Macaca mulatta: one gene and its partners. Each later gene encodes a partner of the first gene's protein in a complex. Links are inferred from orthologs where the notes say so. Each region holds a gene or a part of one and is shown in the gene's direction. Other genes may lie near its edges.

Region 1 (4,330 bases):
CCTGTTCTCAAGAGATCCTCCTGCCTCAGCCTCCCAAAGTGCTGGGATTATAGGAAGAGCCACTGCACCTGGCCTTGCTTACTTTTAAATAAGCAGCCACCAGTGATTTTCTCAAGATGTTAGCAAAAATGCAGAAAACAGTTTGCCTGTTCCTTAGTTTGGAGATTTTGTCTTTAACAATTTTCCTGGGCTGGGCGCGGTGGCTCAAGCCTGTAATCCCAGCACTTTGGGAGGCCGAGACGGGCGGATCACAAGGTCAGGAGATCGAGACCATCCTGGTTAATACGGTGAAACCCCGTCTCTACGAAAAAGTACAAAAAACTAGCCGGGCGAGGTGGCGGGCGCCTGTAGTCCCAGCTACTTGGGAGGCTGAGGCAGGAGAATGGCGTGAACCCGGGAGGCGGAGCTTGCAGTGAGCTGAGATCCGGCCACTGTGCTCCAGCCTGGGTGACAGAGCGAGACTCCGTCTCAAAAAAAAAAAAAAAAAAAAAAAAAAAAAAAAAAAAAATTTTCCCCAGTTCCCCAGTTTCTTCCTGCCTAGAGGTCTTCCCTTATGCCTGACCTGTCTTCACTCCTGCTGCAGGCAAACCAATCCTAGCAAAGGTCACTTTTTTGTTTGTTTGAGACAGAGTCTTCCTCTGTCGCTCAGGCTGGAGTGCAGTGGTGGGATCTCGGTTCACTGCAAGCTCCGCTTCGCAGGTACAAACGATTCTCCTGCCTCAGCCTCCCGAGTACCTGGGGCTGCAGGCGCACGCCACCACACCCGGCTAATTTTTATATTTTTAGTAGAGACAGGGTTTAGCCATCTTGGCCAGGCTGGCCTCGAACTCCTGACCTCAAGTGATCTGCCCGTCTTGGCTTCCCAAAGTGCTGGGATTACAGGCGTGAGCCACCGCGCCCGGCCAACACGGCTAATATGCTTCATGAGCATGGACCCCATCTTCCAATCTGAAATAGAATTTCGGTTGTCCCTTACTTTGCAGAGTTTTTGGCGCTATAAAACTTCCATACTTTATTTATTATGTATCCTGTCCCTCCCCCACCGCAAAATGTAAATTTGGTAAGGAACTTTTGATTTGTCCTCTGCTAGATCCCAGCGACGGAAAGCAATGAGCACACATTAGGCCTCCATTAAATTGATTTCACTTGTTGAATGAATGCGTTAGGGAAGCACTCACGGACTGACCATCAGGGGGCGTCAGAGAAACTGGATAGAGGCGGAAATGAAGAAAAAAGAATTACTCCGAACTTTCAGGCATGGTTCCGCGAGGTTTGAACTCGCTCGGCCACCGTAGTGCTTAGAGGCCGGAAAAAGTGCAGCCCCTTCCGGGCTTTGCGGTACCGGACGACGGCTTTGGGATGTCGGAAATTGATCCTAGAGGTCCCAAGGTAGCCGCCTTGCGAAGCTGAGGCTCCAGCCGAGGGCTCCAGGCCTCCGACTGGCCCAGCAGTGAACGGGGCTGCCCGACGCTTCAGGGCTGGGAGCAGGGAGCGTGGGTCGCCATGGCGACGCCGGCGGGGCTGGAGCGCTGGGTTCAGGACGAGCTGCACTCGGTGTTGGGGCTGAGCGAGCGGCACGTCGCCCAGTTCCTGATCGGTACTGCACAGCGCTGCACGTCGGCCGAGGAGTTCGTGCAGCGCCTACGAGACACTGATACTTTGGATCTCAGTGGGCCGGCCCGGGACTTCGCCCTGAGACTCTGGAACAAGGTGTCGGCAGGGTGGGGAGGGGTCCTGTGATTTGTCCCGATGAGGCTGGCCTAACGGTCCATCGAGGAGTTAAGAAAGCTCAGTTCACAAGCACTTATTCTTTGTCCGTTGTCGCCTAGGTACTGTGCTAGCTGCTGGACGCCCAGCTCAGTGGAGAAGATTGAGGAGGGCTTAGGTGTGTCGGGTTAAACGCAATAGAACGGTGTTTTTCGAACTCTTAACATGCATCCAGGGCCCTTGTTAAAATGCAGATTGCGATTCAGTAGGGATCTTAGTTTCTGCATTTCTTTCTTTTTCTTTCTTTCTTTCCTTTTTTTTTTTTTTTGAGAGACACAGCCTCGCTCGCCCTGTCGCCCAGGCTGGAGTGCGGTCATAAGATCACGGCTCACTACAGCGTCGATCTCCCTGGCTGAAGCGACCCTCCCATCTCATCTTCCCCAGTAGCTGGGACTATGGGCATGCGCCACCACCCCCGGCTAATATCTTTCATTTTTATTTTTATTTTTAGAGACGAGGCCTTGGTGTGTTGCGCAGGCTGGTCTCTAACTCCTCAGCTCAAGCAGTCCTCCTCTCTCAGCCCCGCAAAGTGCTGGGATTACAGGCGTGAGCCACCTTGCCCGTCCCCCCTCAGCTTCTGAACTTCCTTTCAGCCGTTTAATTAACAGAGGAGGCCCGGTGCAGTGGCTCACACCTGTAATCCCAGCACCCCAGAAGGCTGAGGCAGGAGGATCATTTGAGCCCAGGAGTTCGAGACCAGCCTGGGCAACATAGTGAAACCTCCCTACAAAAAATTTAAAAATTAATTGGGCGTTGTAGTGTGCACCTGTGTTTCCAGCTACTTAGGAGCCTGAGGTGGGAGGATCACTTGAGCCCAAGAGGGACAGAGTGAAACCCTGTCTGTAAAAAAAGCCAAAAAGCTGTGGGCCCCATTCAGGATGATAAACATGGGGTGAAGCCATGAGGAAGACAGAATGAAGGCTGGTTAGCTGGTTTAAAACTAAGTAATTGTGCCCGGGTGCGGTGGCTCACGCCTGTAATCCCAGCACTTTGGGAGGCCCAGGCAACTGGATCATGAGGTCAGGAGTTTGAGACCAACCTGGCCAACATGGTGAAACCTCATCTCTACTAAAAATACAGAAATTAGTCAGGTGTGGTGGCAGGCGCCTGTAATCCCAGCTACTTGGGAGGCTGAGGCAGGAGAATTGCTTGAACCTAGGAGGTGGAGGTTGAAGTGAGCCGAGATCACACCATTGCACTCCAGCTCCGGGTGACAGACCAAGACTCCATCTCGGCGGGCGGGGGGAGACTAAGTAATTGCTTAAATTAGGAACAGAGCTAGAGCTAAGTGGGAGGGCAGAGATCAGGAGTTGCTCAGACCTCCTTATCTTCCCCTCTACTGACAGGTACCACGAAAGGCAGTGGTAGAAAAGCCAGCGCGGGCAGCAGAGCGAGAGGCCCGAGCCCTGCTGGAGAAGAACCGATCTTATAGGTTGTTGGAAGACAGTGAAGAGAGCAGTGAGGAGACTGTGAGTAGGGCTGGAAGCAGCCTCCAGAAGAAACGTAAAAAGCGGAAACACCTCAGGAAGAAGCGTGAGGAAGAGGAGGAAGAAGAGGAGGAAGAGGCTTCTGAGAAAGGGAAGAAGAAAACAGGGTAAGTCAGAAGCAGGGCGAGGGAGGATGGGGCAGGCTGAAGTGTGCTCGATGCCCTTATTTAATCCCCTGGATGGGCTGCAGGGGGAGTAAACAGCAGACAGAGAAGCCAGAGTCAGAAGATGAGTGGGAACGGACAGAGCGTGAGCGCCTTCAGGACCTGGAGGAGCGTGATGCCTTTGCTGAGAGGGTTCGACAGCGGGACAAGGATCGGACTCGAAATGTCCTGGAGCGGTCAGACAAGAAGGTGAACAGGAGCAGCACGTTCTGTAAATCCCCAAGATCCCAGGGTGAAATGTGAGGTTGGCTGTGATTGCAGAGATGGTGATCTCTGGGAAGACAAGGGGCTTTCTCTAGTGAGATGTTCACCTCTGTGGGGAGAGATGAGGTGAGAGAAGCCCTGTGCATCCTGTGGCTAAGGCAACTCTCTACTGTATCTGCAATCGTACAGATCCCTCACTGAGAGGGGACATTTTTTGTGTTAGGGTACATCTGAATGATCCTTGTGATTCTAAAGAGGAGCAGCTGTCAGTGTGGGGGCTCTTTGGCCTCACACCCCTCCATTCTTGTTTTTTTTTTTTTTCTAGGCTTATGAAGAAGCTCAGAAGCGCCTCAAGATGGCCGAGGAGGACCGGAAGGCCATGGTGAGTCCCAGGGCCCAGGGAGCCAAGATCAGAAGACAAAAGGGAAGACCGTCTGATAGAGTGGTTACGTATAGGGAGAGAGAATACAGAGGAAGCACGGTGTGGATGCTGATGGAGTGGTCAGGTCTCTAGAGGAGGGGCTTGGTTGTCAGGAGCCAGCTGAGGACAGACTTATGTTGTCGAGGGAAGGAGCCCTCTTAAGTTGTAGGGGAAAGGAGGCTACCCATAAGTCCTCCTTGACTCTTAACTTTAGGATCAAACATACTCTATTAGTGAATGAAGTTGTGAGCTTTCCCTATTCCTGAGTCCTAATGAGATGTGAGGCA
Region 2 (4,361 bases), on another chromosome or scaffold:
CTATGAGTTACCTTTGATTCCTGTCTTCACTCACTAAAATCAACCCTTCACCAAGTTCCGCCCATTTTACCTCCTACATACCTCTAGAATCTGTCCAATTCTCTGCAGTTCCACCCACTTCTCAGTCCTCACTGACATCTCTGACCAGGATTACTGTATATCCTAAGTGGTCCACATGTATCGACTAGGGCTTCCCCAGCCCCAATCTGTTCACACCACTGAGCCTGAGAAATCAAGCCCCCTCCTCCACCACACCCCACCGGGGGAAGACGGCTCAGTGGTATCCCATCCGTTTTAAAATAAAGCTACAAATTCCTGCAAGGTCTGACCGCTATCACGTACAGCTTCATCTTGTACCATACTCCCCTTCATTCTCTTTGTATCAGTCACACTGGCTCTTTGTGCTTTTAGTCATTTTTCCTCCCAAGTGCCTCAGGGCTCTGAACAAGTAGTTCTCTACGGAAGGTTCTGCCTTTACCTCTTCACTTAATTAATTACAATTCTTCCTGCAGCTACCAGAGCAGGCATCTTTTCCTCTGAAAAACCTTCCTGCTTATTTCAGGCACTCAGCATCAAACAGCACTAGGAGGCATTTCCATGTATTAGTGAGGTCATTGTTTAACGTTTTCCCCACCAGACTTAAACGCCCTGAGAGTAGGGACCGTGTCTGGTTCACGACGTACCCCCAACGCGCTGCTAAATAAATATCAGCTGGACGACTGACGCAATGACCACGTTCATGGGCATGAGTCTCAAATTTCTCAACAAGACTGCGCTCTGGAGAAGGAGTCGGACATTTCCTTCATCATTGTCTCTCTCAGGGGGGCAGAGACTAGGCCCTAATCAAAAACTGCAAAATCAGTGGCAGAAACAAGTCAGCCTCCTCGGCCAAACGGGGCGCCGGAGGAAGTTGGGACACAGGCCTTTCTCCCTGGGAATGCCCGGCACAGGACTGGCCACGACGGGCGCTCTTGAAGAAGGGAGCCGCAGGGACTGGGTCTTGCCGCCAGAGACCCCCAAGGCTCCGCTCCCGCCCGGAAAGGGAGCCCATGCTACTACTTACCACAGCTGGGGACTCGGGGCCCCGCCTCCCACCCCTTGCTATCGGCACCCTCAGCTGAGAAGGGCAGCTTCAGACTGCACAACCGAGGCGTCGCCTTCAGACTCAGGCTGCCACCCACCCAGCTCTTCCTCATACGTACTAGGCGTCAGCTCCAGGCCCCCGAGTCCCGGCGCTGAACTAAACGCCGAGCCCAGTCAGCCAGCGCGTTTCCACCCACAAGACCCAGCGCGCCTAGGGAGGTCGCCAGCTCCGTCCACCAATCCTGGAATCGCACTCTCATGACGTCAGAAAGATATGCCCAATAACAAGAGACTATCCGAGGGCAGTGCAAATGGGTATATTGAAAACCGATTGGTTCTTCCAAGCTGGAAGTTGTGGAGGAAGGACTAAGCTGGAACCAATTGCGTGGCGCCTGAGGGGGGCAGCGCGGTCAGTGGCGGCGCTGAAGAGACCGGTTGCCGCCATGATAGAACAACAGAAGCGTAAGGGCCCAGAGTTGCCGCTGGTTCCAGTCAAGCGGCAGCGGCATGAGTTGCTACTGGGAGCGGGGTCGGGCCCGGGAGCCGGGCAGCAGCAGGCGACGCCGGGAGCTTTGCTGCAAGCGGTAAGTGAAGAAGCAGGCGGCCTTTGGCCCTCAGCTCATCTTCCTCCCCTCAGAGCGCTGTATCTGGTGACCCGGCACCGACCCTTCCCGCATTGCGGGGGGCAGAACGAGAGTTTCTACCTAGAGTTAAAGCACACCAACATTGTAAAAGCGCCTCATAGCCTGCGGATGCTCAGTACTTGTTCGCCCGTTTGGCGCTGGTTTTCAGCCTCTCGACTGCCTTGTGAGGTAGCGTTAGAATTAGCGTTGAGAACCTTGGGCTCACAACCCGGACCCGGGCTTAAGCATCCTGACTCTAACATGGATCTAGCGTAGAACAGAAATTCCGAAGACTTTGTAGAATGAATGAATGAGGGAGGGAGGAAAAGAGGGAAATGATTGGTGTTGGCTCGTTTTGGGACTTTGGGCAAGTTGCTTTTCCCTTTATTTCTCTGCACTAGTATTATTAACAACTGAATAGCAGCTAACATTCGTTGACTCTTGTACTAAGGTGTTTCGTATATGAAATTTCCATTGATCTTGGTAGCAGCCTGTTAGGAACGTTATTAACCCATTTTGCAGATGGAAAAGCAGACTTATCAAGCACGTGATAGAAACAGATGTTGAACTGAGAAACCATGCTCCTAACTATATTTTTTGTAAGATGGAAATAGTGATCACACTTCTAATGCCCTGTTTAGGCTCAGACGAGGAAATACGAGTGTCCTCTCATCTCCTCAATAAATCCTGCTGGCACCGTTCTCAAAATAGATCTAGAATTGCTACTTCTACCATTTCCATCACTGCCTCATGGCCTAAGCCGTTATTATCTCATCTGGCATTTTTGTAGTGGGACCCTAACTGGTCTTCCACTTTCTGCCTTTGTAGCAGCACCTGTTACCAAGCCAATAACCAAAGGAATCCTTCTAAACAACGGATCACATTACATTCTGCAGAAAACTTTCTGGTGGCTTTCTACTTCATCCAGAGTAAAAACCAAAATTCTTATAATTATTTGTCCTCTTTCCCTTTACCTCTCTGACCAATTTCTCATTGCTCACCCGGCTTCAGTTACACTCTCTTCCAAACCTCTGCCTCTGGACCTTTGCATTTGCTGTCCTCCCTATGGGATTGCTCTTCCCAAATGTTCACATGGTTTATTATTCAGCTCCTGCGAATATTTGCCCAAATATAATTTTTTCAGTGAGGGTTTTCCTGACCACCCTGTTTTAAATTGCAGTACCACATAATGTGGAACCCACATTGCTTCTCTCTCTCTCTCTCTCTCTCTCTCTCTCTCTCTCTCTCTCTCTTTTTTCTTTTGAGATAGAATCTCTCTGTGTTGACCACTGGCTCGCTGCATCCTCCGCCACCAGGGATCAAGTAATCCTTCTGCCTCAGCCTCCTGAATAGCTGGGACCACAGACACAGACCACCACACCTAATTGTATTGTATTTTTTTGTAGAGACAGGATTTCACTCCTGAGCTCAAGCAATCTGCACACCTTGGCCTCCCAAAGTGCTGAGATTACAGGCATGAGCCACCTTGCCCATCCCTTCTTTTTTTCTATAGCACATGACACCAAGTATATATTTTGCTTGTTTTCTCTCACCTTCTCTCCTCCCTTCCCCCTTTCCCACTGGAACAGCAAGCTCCATTGTTTATTTTGTTCATAGCTGTTTGCCCAGTGCCTAGCACATAACTTTTTATTTTTAAGATGGGATTTTGCTTTTGTCACCCAGGCTGGAGTGGAATGGCGCGATCTCAGCGCACTACAACCTCCGCCTCCCGGGTTCAAGCGATTCTCCTGCCTCAGCCTCCCGAGTGGCTGGAATTACAGGCGCCCACCACCACGCCTGGCTAGTTTTTGTGTTTTTTTAAGTACAGATGGGGTTTCACCATGTTGGTCAGGCTGGTCTCAAACTCTTAACCTCAAGTGATCTGCCCACCTCAGCCTCCCCAAGTGCTGGGATTACAGGTGTGAGCCACCGTGCCCAGCCTGCACATAACATTTTTTAAAACTAAATGAATGTGGCGGGGCTTGGTGGCGGGCACCTGTAATCCCAGCCACTCAGGAGGCTGATGCAGGAGAATCGCCTGAACCCAGGAGGCGGAGTTTGCAATGAGATGAGATCATGCCATTGTACTCCAGCCTGGGCAACAGAGCAAGACTCCTTCCCAATAAATAAATAAGTAAGAATGTGCTGGAAAGTGCTGAAGAGATTTGGGGATTATGGGTAGTATACTTCTCCCATTTGACAAGTGAGCATATCAGCCCATGTTTAGATGAATTGCCCAAGTGTCATCTTAGTGTCCAAGACCATAATCAAAACTACTTCACCCGTGCTGAGGATCCCTTCGCTATGAAAAAAATAAGAAAGAAAAATAGGCCATGCGCAGTGGCTCATGCCTGTAATCTCAGCACTCTGGGAGGCCAAGGCAGGCAGATCACTTGAGGCTGGGAGTTTGAGACCAGCCTGGCCAACATGGTGAAACCCCATCTCTACTAAAAATGCAAAAACTAGCTGGGCATGGTTGTGCATGCCTGTAATCTTGGCTGCTCGGGAGGCTGAGGCACCAGATCCCTTGAACCCAGAAAGCAGAGGTTGCAGTGAGCCGAGATCACGCCACTGCATGCCAACCTGGGTGACAGAGCAAGACTGTGTCTCAAAACACACACACAAAAAATAAAACAAAACTATTTCACCCAGTAC
Region 3 (3,563 bases), on another chromosome or scaffold:
AAAGTGTTCCATACTGTTTATTTTGCATTGCTTGCCTGTATCAAAATATCTCATGTACCCCATAAATATATTTCTACTGCGTACCCACAAAAATTAAACACAAAATTTTAAAAAAGAAAGTGTACATAGTAGAAAATGTACAACTACACGTAATTTAATATATATTTTCCCCATAAATATATTTCTACTGCGTACCCACAAAAACACAAAATTTTAAGAAAGTGTACATAGTAGAAAATGTACAACTACACGTAATTTAATATATATTTTAAAATTTTTATTTTTCAAATGATTGTACAGCAAGAGCTTTTTGTTTGACATACAGGTCTAATGAATTGTAATAGATGTATTGATTTGGGTAACCACTACCACAATTAGGATATAGACATTACGTCACCTCAAAAAACACCCCTGTGCTATTTTTTTGTAGTTATATCTTCCTTCACCTCTGACAATCACTGATCTGTTTTCTATCACTATAGTTGTCTTATTTTTTTTCAATAATTTCAGTTCTAATTTATTTTTAATTTTTATGGCTAACATAATAGATGTGCATATTTATGGGCTACATATCAAATCTGATACAAGCATACAGTGTGTAGGCCAGGTATGGTGGCTCATGCCTATAATCCCAGTACTTTGGGAGGCCTAGGCAAGTGGATCTCTTGAGTCCAGGAGTTCAGTACCAGCCTGGGCAACACCACAAAATCCCGTCTACAAAAAATACAAAAATTAGCTATGTGTGGTGGTGCACACCTGTAGTTCCAGCTACTCCAGAGGCTGAAGTGGGAGGATCACTTGGGCTCAGGAGGCGGAGGTTGCAGTGAGCCGGGATCACACTGCTGCACTCCAGCCTGGGCAACACAGTGACACCCTATCTCAAAACAAGAAACAAAGAAAAAAAAGCATACAATGTGGAATGATCAAATCACAGTAATGGGGATATTTATCTCCATGGTAATTGGGATATTATTTCTTTGTATTAGGAACATTTCATTTTACTCTTCTAGTTATTTTGATATATACAATAAATTATTCTTAGCTATAGTCACCCTATTGTGCTACCAAGCTAACTAGCCAAACTAGTGCTACCAAACACTAAATCTTACTCCCTTTATCTAACTGTATTTTTATACCCATTATCCACTCCCTCTTTATCCTCTGCCTCCCTACTATTCTTCCCAACCTCTATTAGCCATCATTCAACTCTCAAGATCATTTATTTTTTAGCTCCCATATATGAGAGAGAGCATGCAGTACTTGTGTTTCTGTGCCTGGCTTATTTCACTTAACATAGTATCTTCCAGTTCCATCCTTCTTGTTGCAAATGACAGAATTTCATTCTTTTTAATGGCTGAGTAGTATTCCATTGTGTGTATGTACCACATTTTATTTATTCATTCACCTCTTGATGGACACTTAGGTTGGTTTAGCTTTGTCTTTTTGACTATGTCATATAAATGGAATCATACAAAATGTGCTTTTTGAGATTGGCTTCCTTCACACAGCTTAATACCTTTGTGAGTCACTGAAGTTGTTGCAAGTATTAATAATGTATTCCTTTTTATTACTGAGTAGTATACATTATATAGATGAGCCACAATTTGTGTATCTATTAACTTGTTGAAGATAATTTAATATTGTAAAATATAACAGTCAAATTATCTTTTAAATTTATGATTTGAAGATGGGAGGGCAATTCAAACTCAGGCTGCAGTTAAACTTAAAAACATTTTAACTTGTATGTTAGCCGCCCGTTCTACTTTGTTTTATACAGGTTATCAGTGGGCATCTTGGCTGGGTTCGATGTATTGCTGTGGAACCTGGAAATCAGTGGTTTGTTACTGGGTCTGCTGACAGAACTATAAAGGTAATAATGAGGGAAGAAAAAATAAACATGACTTTGTGTTTGTCATGTAAGTTTAATCAGTTACTATTTCCTGTGGCAGGAATTGCTATTGCAGTTCCTCTGTTATTTTAGACCTGAATAAGGAGTAAAATTTATCATTTATACGAGTAAGTGTTCTAAATAAATATCTGTTTGAAAAGTGGTATTTAAACCACTTTTTCTTTACCTGCTGAATACCTACCACTAATTCCTTTATACTTACATTTTTGTCTCCAACTGGTTACAAAATTAAGAGCGTGCTCATTCATAGAAAATGTGGAAAATATAGAGAATTATGAAAGTACATAGACCTGTGTATAATCCTACCATTGTTAGATACTTGGATAAGTTTCATTTTAGTATTTATTTCTGTAAGTATAAATGCCTTTACTTCTAAGCTCTTTTCTTGTGTGTGTATCTTTTAAAAATCATTCTTAGTATGTAATTTTGTATCTTGCTTTTTCCCTTAACATTTTATCAAAGGCATATTCCTGTGAAAAATTTACTATCTTTTAAAGTGCCTGCATAATATTGTATCATTTGGATAGTCTATAATCTGTTTTCCTATTGTTGGATGGTAGAGTTTTTAGTCTGATTTTCACCATTACAAGTAATGCTGTTAAGTTTTGTATATAAGACTTTTTCTGTGTTTTAAATTATTTTGTTATGGTAGAGTTCCCTAAATGTAATAAATGGGTCAAATATTTTTGAAGCCGATACCCAAAGTACAAATTACTTTCCAAATGGGTGAATGGATACTTGCAGTGTATGGGAGGATCCTTTTCAGCACATTGGTTGTACATTCCTTTACAAATATCTAATATGGTAAGCAAAAATGGATACTTAATCTTTTTTTAAAAGTTTGTATAGGCTGGGCGCAGTGGCTCACGCCTGTAATCCCAACACTTTGGGAGGCTGAGGCGGGCAGATCATGAGGTCAGGAGATCGAGACCAGCCTGCCTAACACGGTGAAACCCCGTCTCCACTAAAAAATGCAAAAAATTAGCTGGGCATGGTGGTGGGCGCCTGTAATCCCAGCTACTTCAGAGGCTGAGGCAGGAAAATGCCGTGAACTCAGGAGGTGGAGCTTGCAGTGAGCTGAGATCGCGCCACTGCACTCCAACCTGGGCGACAGAGTGAGACTCTGTCTCAAAAAATAAATAACTAAAAAGTTTGTATAAAATTTCTAATGAGTTTGAACTTTTTCATATCTGTATTTGCTGCTTTTAGGGTTTCTTTAAGTTGTTGCCATCCTCGGTTAATTTAATACCATACTTTTCATACTATTATTATCAAAGATTCCATTTATATAACAAGAAGGTTAACCTGTCATCTAATTGCAAATATTTTTCCAGTTTGAGCATGCCAGTTTTTTTCTTGCTTTTATTTGGAGAGGAGTCATTTTACAAAATTTTTTATTTTTACATATTCGTTATCTTTTTCCTCTTCTCTTTGAAAACTCAATTTTAATAATAAAGATTCTAAAATTTTGCTTTGCGGTAACCAGGGAAAGAAAAAAAATATTCTTTGATTGCAGATCTGGGACTTGGCTAGTGGCAAATTAAAACTGTCATTGACTGGGCATATTAGTACTGTGCGGGGCGTGATAGTAAGCACGAGGAGCCCATACCTGTTCTCTTGTGGAGAAGACAAACAAGTAAAATGCTGGGATCTT
Region 4 (3,563 bases), on another chromosome or scaffold:
AGTTAATTAAGATACCTCCAAGCAAAGGACTAAATCTGTTATTAAATGTGGTGCTAGGTTGGCAAGATACGTGAAAGATGAATTACTGTTCATTGGAAAGGCAAGTTTAACAATTGTGAGCATGATATAATTCTATTGTTGTTACAGACATAATGATACATAGTCACATATTTAAGCAAATGCATTGGTAAGAATAGGCATCTAATTATTGACTATCATGAGAGTGATGACTATAGATGAAGGGGTGCTTGCTGTGGGACACCTGGCCAGTAATCTAACCTCTGTATTCCTGTGTCTTTTCTATTTATGCAGTCTCAGGGATGGTGTTTTTAAAATGAGAGAACATGTAAAATTTAGAAGAAAAGGTGCTAAAATAAAGAAAGTCGGCCTGATGCCTTTTTTCAGCTTGCTTAACCTGGCAAGTGCAGCTCTTGGTTTTTTTTTTTATTTATTAAACTGGTTGTCTTTCTAGGCGAATCCACACAATTACGATGCATGGTTTGATTACTTGCGCTTGGTAGAAAGTGATGCAGAAGCTGAAGCCGTGAGAGAAGTCTATGAAAGGGCCATTGCCAATGTCCCACCCATTCAGGAGAAGAGGCACTGGAAGCGCTACATTTATCTTTGGATCAACTATGCACTCTATGAAGAATTGGAGGCAAAGGTGAAAAAACAGAATTATGTGTCAGCTGTTAATGGTTTCCTCTGCTCTGTATTCACAGCTCACCTATTGTGGATATTTATAATTCTTGAAACAAGGAAATTTAGTTTTAAATTTTTATAGGCTTCTGTTCAAGCCATACAGTTAGATGTTCACTCTGCAACATTTTAAACTCTCTGTGCTTGTTATGGCCACACGTGAGGGGCTTTTCTTATTTTGGTTTGATTTTTACTTGAGGCACAACAAGATATCACTTGGAACTTGAAAGAGAACGGTGAACCAGCCCTTAGTTTAATTAAATATAGTTTCCTGGATTTGCTCATTAATAGGGGTAATTATGGCTAGATTATGCATTTTTGCTTTTAGGAAAACTCAAGTGGCATTTTCAGAAATCATTTGTATTAACTTTCTGGGTTTGATCTGAGACTACGAAATGTCTTTGTTTCTTTCTGCCATCAGGCAAAAAGGCTTTCTACAAAGAAGGGCTTAGAGTTTGGTGTCTTGTTGGTGATTCTTAAACTGAAGTTTCATGGCCGTTCATACTTTAGATCATAAATCAGGGTTGGCAAGTAACAACTTGTGAAACATACTCAGTTTTGGGGATGTACCTTTTTACTAGTATCAGCAAAATTAGTAACTAGTAAAATGAGTGTTAGCAGCAGACTTCAGTATTTTGTGAAAATTTCTTATCCTAATACAGGATCCTGAGAGGACAAGACAGGTGTATCAAGCCTCTTTGGAACTCATTCCTCACAAAAAGGTATGTTTGCTCTAAAGTGTTCCATTTCAAACAGGTCGGAATCCTCTTCTGTTACTTGTGAAGTAACTCAGTGAAATAATATTGATTGATAAAATATTTCCCTGACCCACCATGGACAACGTAAGTAAAACTGAGATATGCACCTTGCCTCTGAACACAGCTCACAGTCTAGGTCGGAGGACTGCCTGCATTGACAAACAAAGGAAATTCAGAGAAGGCTAGGTAATTTGAATAGTCTGAGTGGAGGGAGAAAGATTTCCATGCAGAGAGCACACAACATGTGTCGGGGACACAGAGGCAGATTTGTTGGTAACAGCGAGTGTGTCCATGCCCAGATCAATGTGCCCCTTGTGTAGATGGTTGAGATGTTACCTCTGCCTTGTTTCCCAGCACGAGAAACAAAACGTGTTTCTTTCTGTAGAAGTGTTGACAGAGTTACTTTTCAGAATAGAGGTAGGACATTCTGCCCACATACAAGCATGCCTACAAAACAAAGTCTGTTCTGAGTAGAGGCTATCGTGCCATGCAGTACAGTACAGTATTTGGATCATGATTCTGAGGAGAGGCTACCATGCCAGGCAGTACAGTGCAGTATCTGGATCATGGGATGTGGGTTTCTAGCTTTTGTGAAATGAATGTGGTCTTTTTTGCTTGTAAATAAGCAGAGTACATTCCTCTTACTCTGAAGTTTTAGAGAAATAGAATTACCAATGGCCTTGGTTAATTTAAATTTACTTTAATTCAATTTAATTTGGATGAGGCTTTTAAGCTAGATATTTTTGTGCTTTTGTTTTCTAGTTCACATTTGCCAAAATGTGGATACTGTATGCACAGTTTGAAATACGACAGAAGAATCTGTCATTAGCCAGAAGAGCATTGGTAAGTAAAGAAAGGATCAAGATGTCTGATTAAGTTCTATGAGAAAGAAATTAAAGTCTTGGTGCTTGGAAGTTATACAATTCCTACTTTAGAAAGTGACAGAAGTATTATACCTTTATAGCCTGGGACATGTTAGAAAATATGCATCCTCTGTAAAAACACTGACTAATAATGCGTAAATTATTCTTATTACCTGGGGTAAATTACATTTTGTTTCAATATTGGAAACTTCTCTAGCTACCGGTTACTAGATCTTTCCACAGACTAGAATTGGTAATCTGATCCTGTGCAAGCTTTTTGGTGTATTAAACGCACTTTTAATTGTTCTACTTTTTTTTTTCCTTTTTTTTTTTCCTTTTCCTGTTTATTGGTTTTTTTTGTTTTGTTTTGTTTTTTTGTTTTTTTTTTTTTTTTGAGACAGGGTCTCGCTCTGTTCCGCAAGCTGGAATGCAGTGGCACAATCTTGGAATCTTGGCTCACTGCAAACTCTGCCTCCTGGGCTGAAATAATCCTCCCACGTTGGCCTCTCAGAATACTGGGATTACAGGCATGAGCCACCATGCCTTGTCCTTTTTATTTATAGGAGGTGTTATGCATCTGACATCCATATTCCCTAGGAGATCCTGAGAAACTTTCAAATCTTATTTTATTTAGTTGCCCAAACAATTCTGGAACACTGCCTCTTGCTGAATGAATTAGAGGAGTTTCCTTCAGCCTTTTGTCAAGAATCAGTAAACATTGTGATACCACAGAGGGAAAGAACGGTAGGCCACGTTGACTTTGCAAGATTCTTCCTCAGCAGAGGACAGCCTCTAGGGCAGTGCAATAACTGCACAAATTGAATCCACTACAGTATCATAGTGGTCTGGTTATTTTATTTTCCAGGGAACTTCCATAGGCAAATGTCCAAAAAACAAATTATTTAAAGTTTACATAGAGTTGGAGCTACAGCTTCGAGAATTTGACAGATGCCGGAAGCTTTATGAAAAGTTCCTGGAATTCGGACCTGAAAATTGTACCTCGTGGATTAAATTTGCTGAATTAGAGACAATCCTTGGTGATATTGACAGAGCACGGGCAATCTATGAATTAGCCATCAGTCAGCCACGTTTAGACATGCCAGAGGTGAGCATCTCAAGTCAAATACCATTTTAAGATACTTGTTTAGTCTTACTTTAGATGACCGTCTAAATGTGGGTGTATTTTAGAGTATAAAGATGATCTAGCTAACTTAGTCTCTTCTGCTCAGATTAGGCTTGTATG

The links.
Region 2: DHX16 (region 1) and SNRNP40 share a complex: the UniProt entries of both Homo sapiens proteins name them as parts of the minor spliceosome. The link is inferred for Macaca mulatta from reciprocal best matches to the Homo sapiens genes DHX16 and SNRNP40.
Region 3: DHX16 (region 1) and PLRG1 share a complex: the UniProt entries of both Homo sapiens proteins name them as parts of the minor spliceosome. The link is inferred for Macaca mulatta from reciprocal best matches to the Homo sapiens genes DHX16 and PLRG1.
Region 4: DHX16 (region 1) and CRNKL1 share a complex: the UniProt entries of both Homo sapiens proteins name them as parts of the minor spliceosome. The link is inferred for Macaca mulatta from reciprocal best matches to the Homo sapiens genes DHX16 and CRNKL1.

The regions. Positions count from the first base shown.
Region 1 is NC_133409.1:152,373,132-152,377,461, forward strand, and holds the start of DHX16 (pre-mRNA-splicing factor ATP-dependent RNA helicase DHX16), read left to right. Parts: upstream 1-1,503; coding exon 1,504-1,710; intron 1,711-3,113; coding exon 3,114-3,361; intron 3,362-3,444; coding exon 3,445-3,607; intron 3,608-3,947; coding exon 3,948-4,004; intron 4,005-4,330. UniProt on the Homo sapiens protein: Required for pre-mRNA splicing as a component of the spliceosome. Contributes to pre-mRNA splicing after spliceosome formation and prior to the first transesterification reaction.
Region 2 is NC_133406.1:209,565,241-209,569,601, forward strand, and holds the start of SNRNP40 (U5 small nuclear ribonucleoprotein 40 kDa protein), read left to right. Parts: upstream 1-1,514; 5' UTR 1,515-1,526; coding exon 1,527-1,667; intron 1,668-4,361. Other genes in the region: ZCCHC17 (zinc finger CCHC domain-containing protein 17), read right to left, coding at 517-528, 1,077-1,196. UniProt on the Homo sapiens protein: Required for pre-mRNA splicing as component of the activated spliceosome. Component of the U5 small nuclear ribonucleoprotein (snRNP) complex and the U4/U6-U5 tri-snRNP complex, building blocks of the spliceosome.
Region 3 is NC_133410.1:163,136,338-163,139,900, reverse strand, and holds part of PLRG1 (pleiotropic regulator 1), read left to right. Parts: exon of another isoform or gene 1-18; intron 19-1,777; coding exon 1,778-1,870; intron 1,871-3,425; coding exon 3,426-3,563. UniProt on the Homo sapiens protein: Involved in pre-mRNA splicing as component of the spliceosome. Component of the PRP19-CDC5L complex that forms an integral part of the spliceosome and is required for activating pre-mRNA splicing.
Region 4 is NC_133415.1:63,982,891-63,986,453, forward strand, and holds part of CRNKL1 (crooked neck-like protein 1), read left to right. Parts: intron 1-472; coding exon 473-664; intron 665-1,361; coding exon 1,362-1,421; intron 1,422-2,219; coding exon 2,220-2,300; intron 2,301-3,185; coding exon 3,186-3,425; intron 3,426-3,563. UniProt on the Homo sapiens protein: Involved in pre-mRNA splicing process. As a component of the minor spliceosome, involved in the splicing of U12-type introns in pre-mRNAs.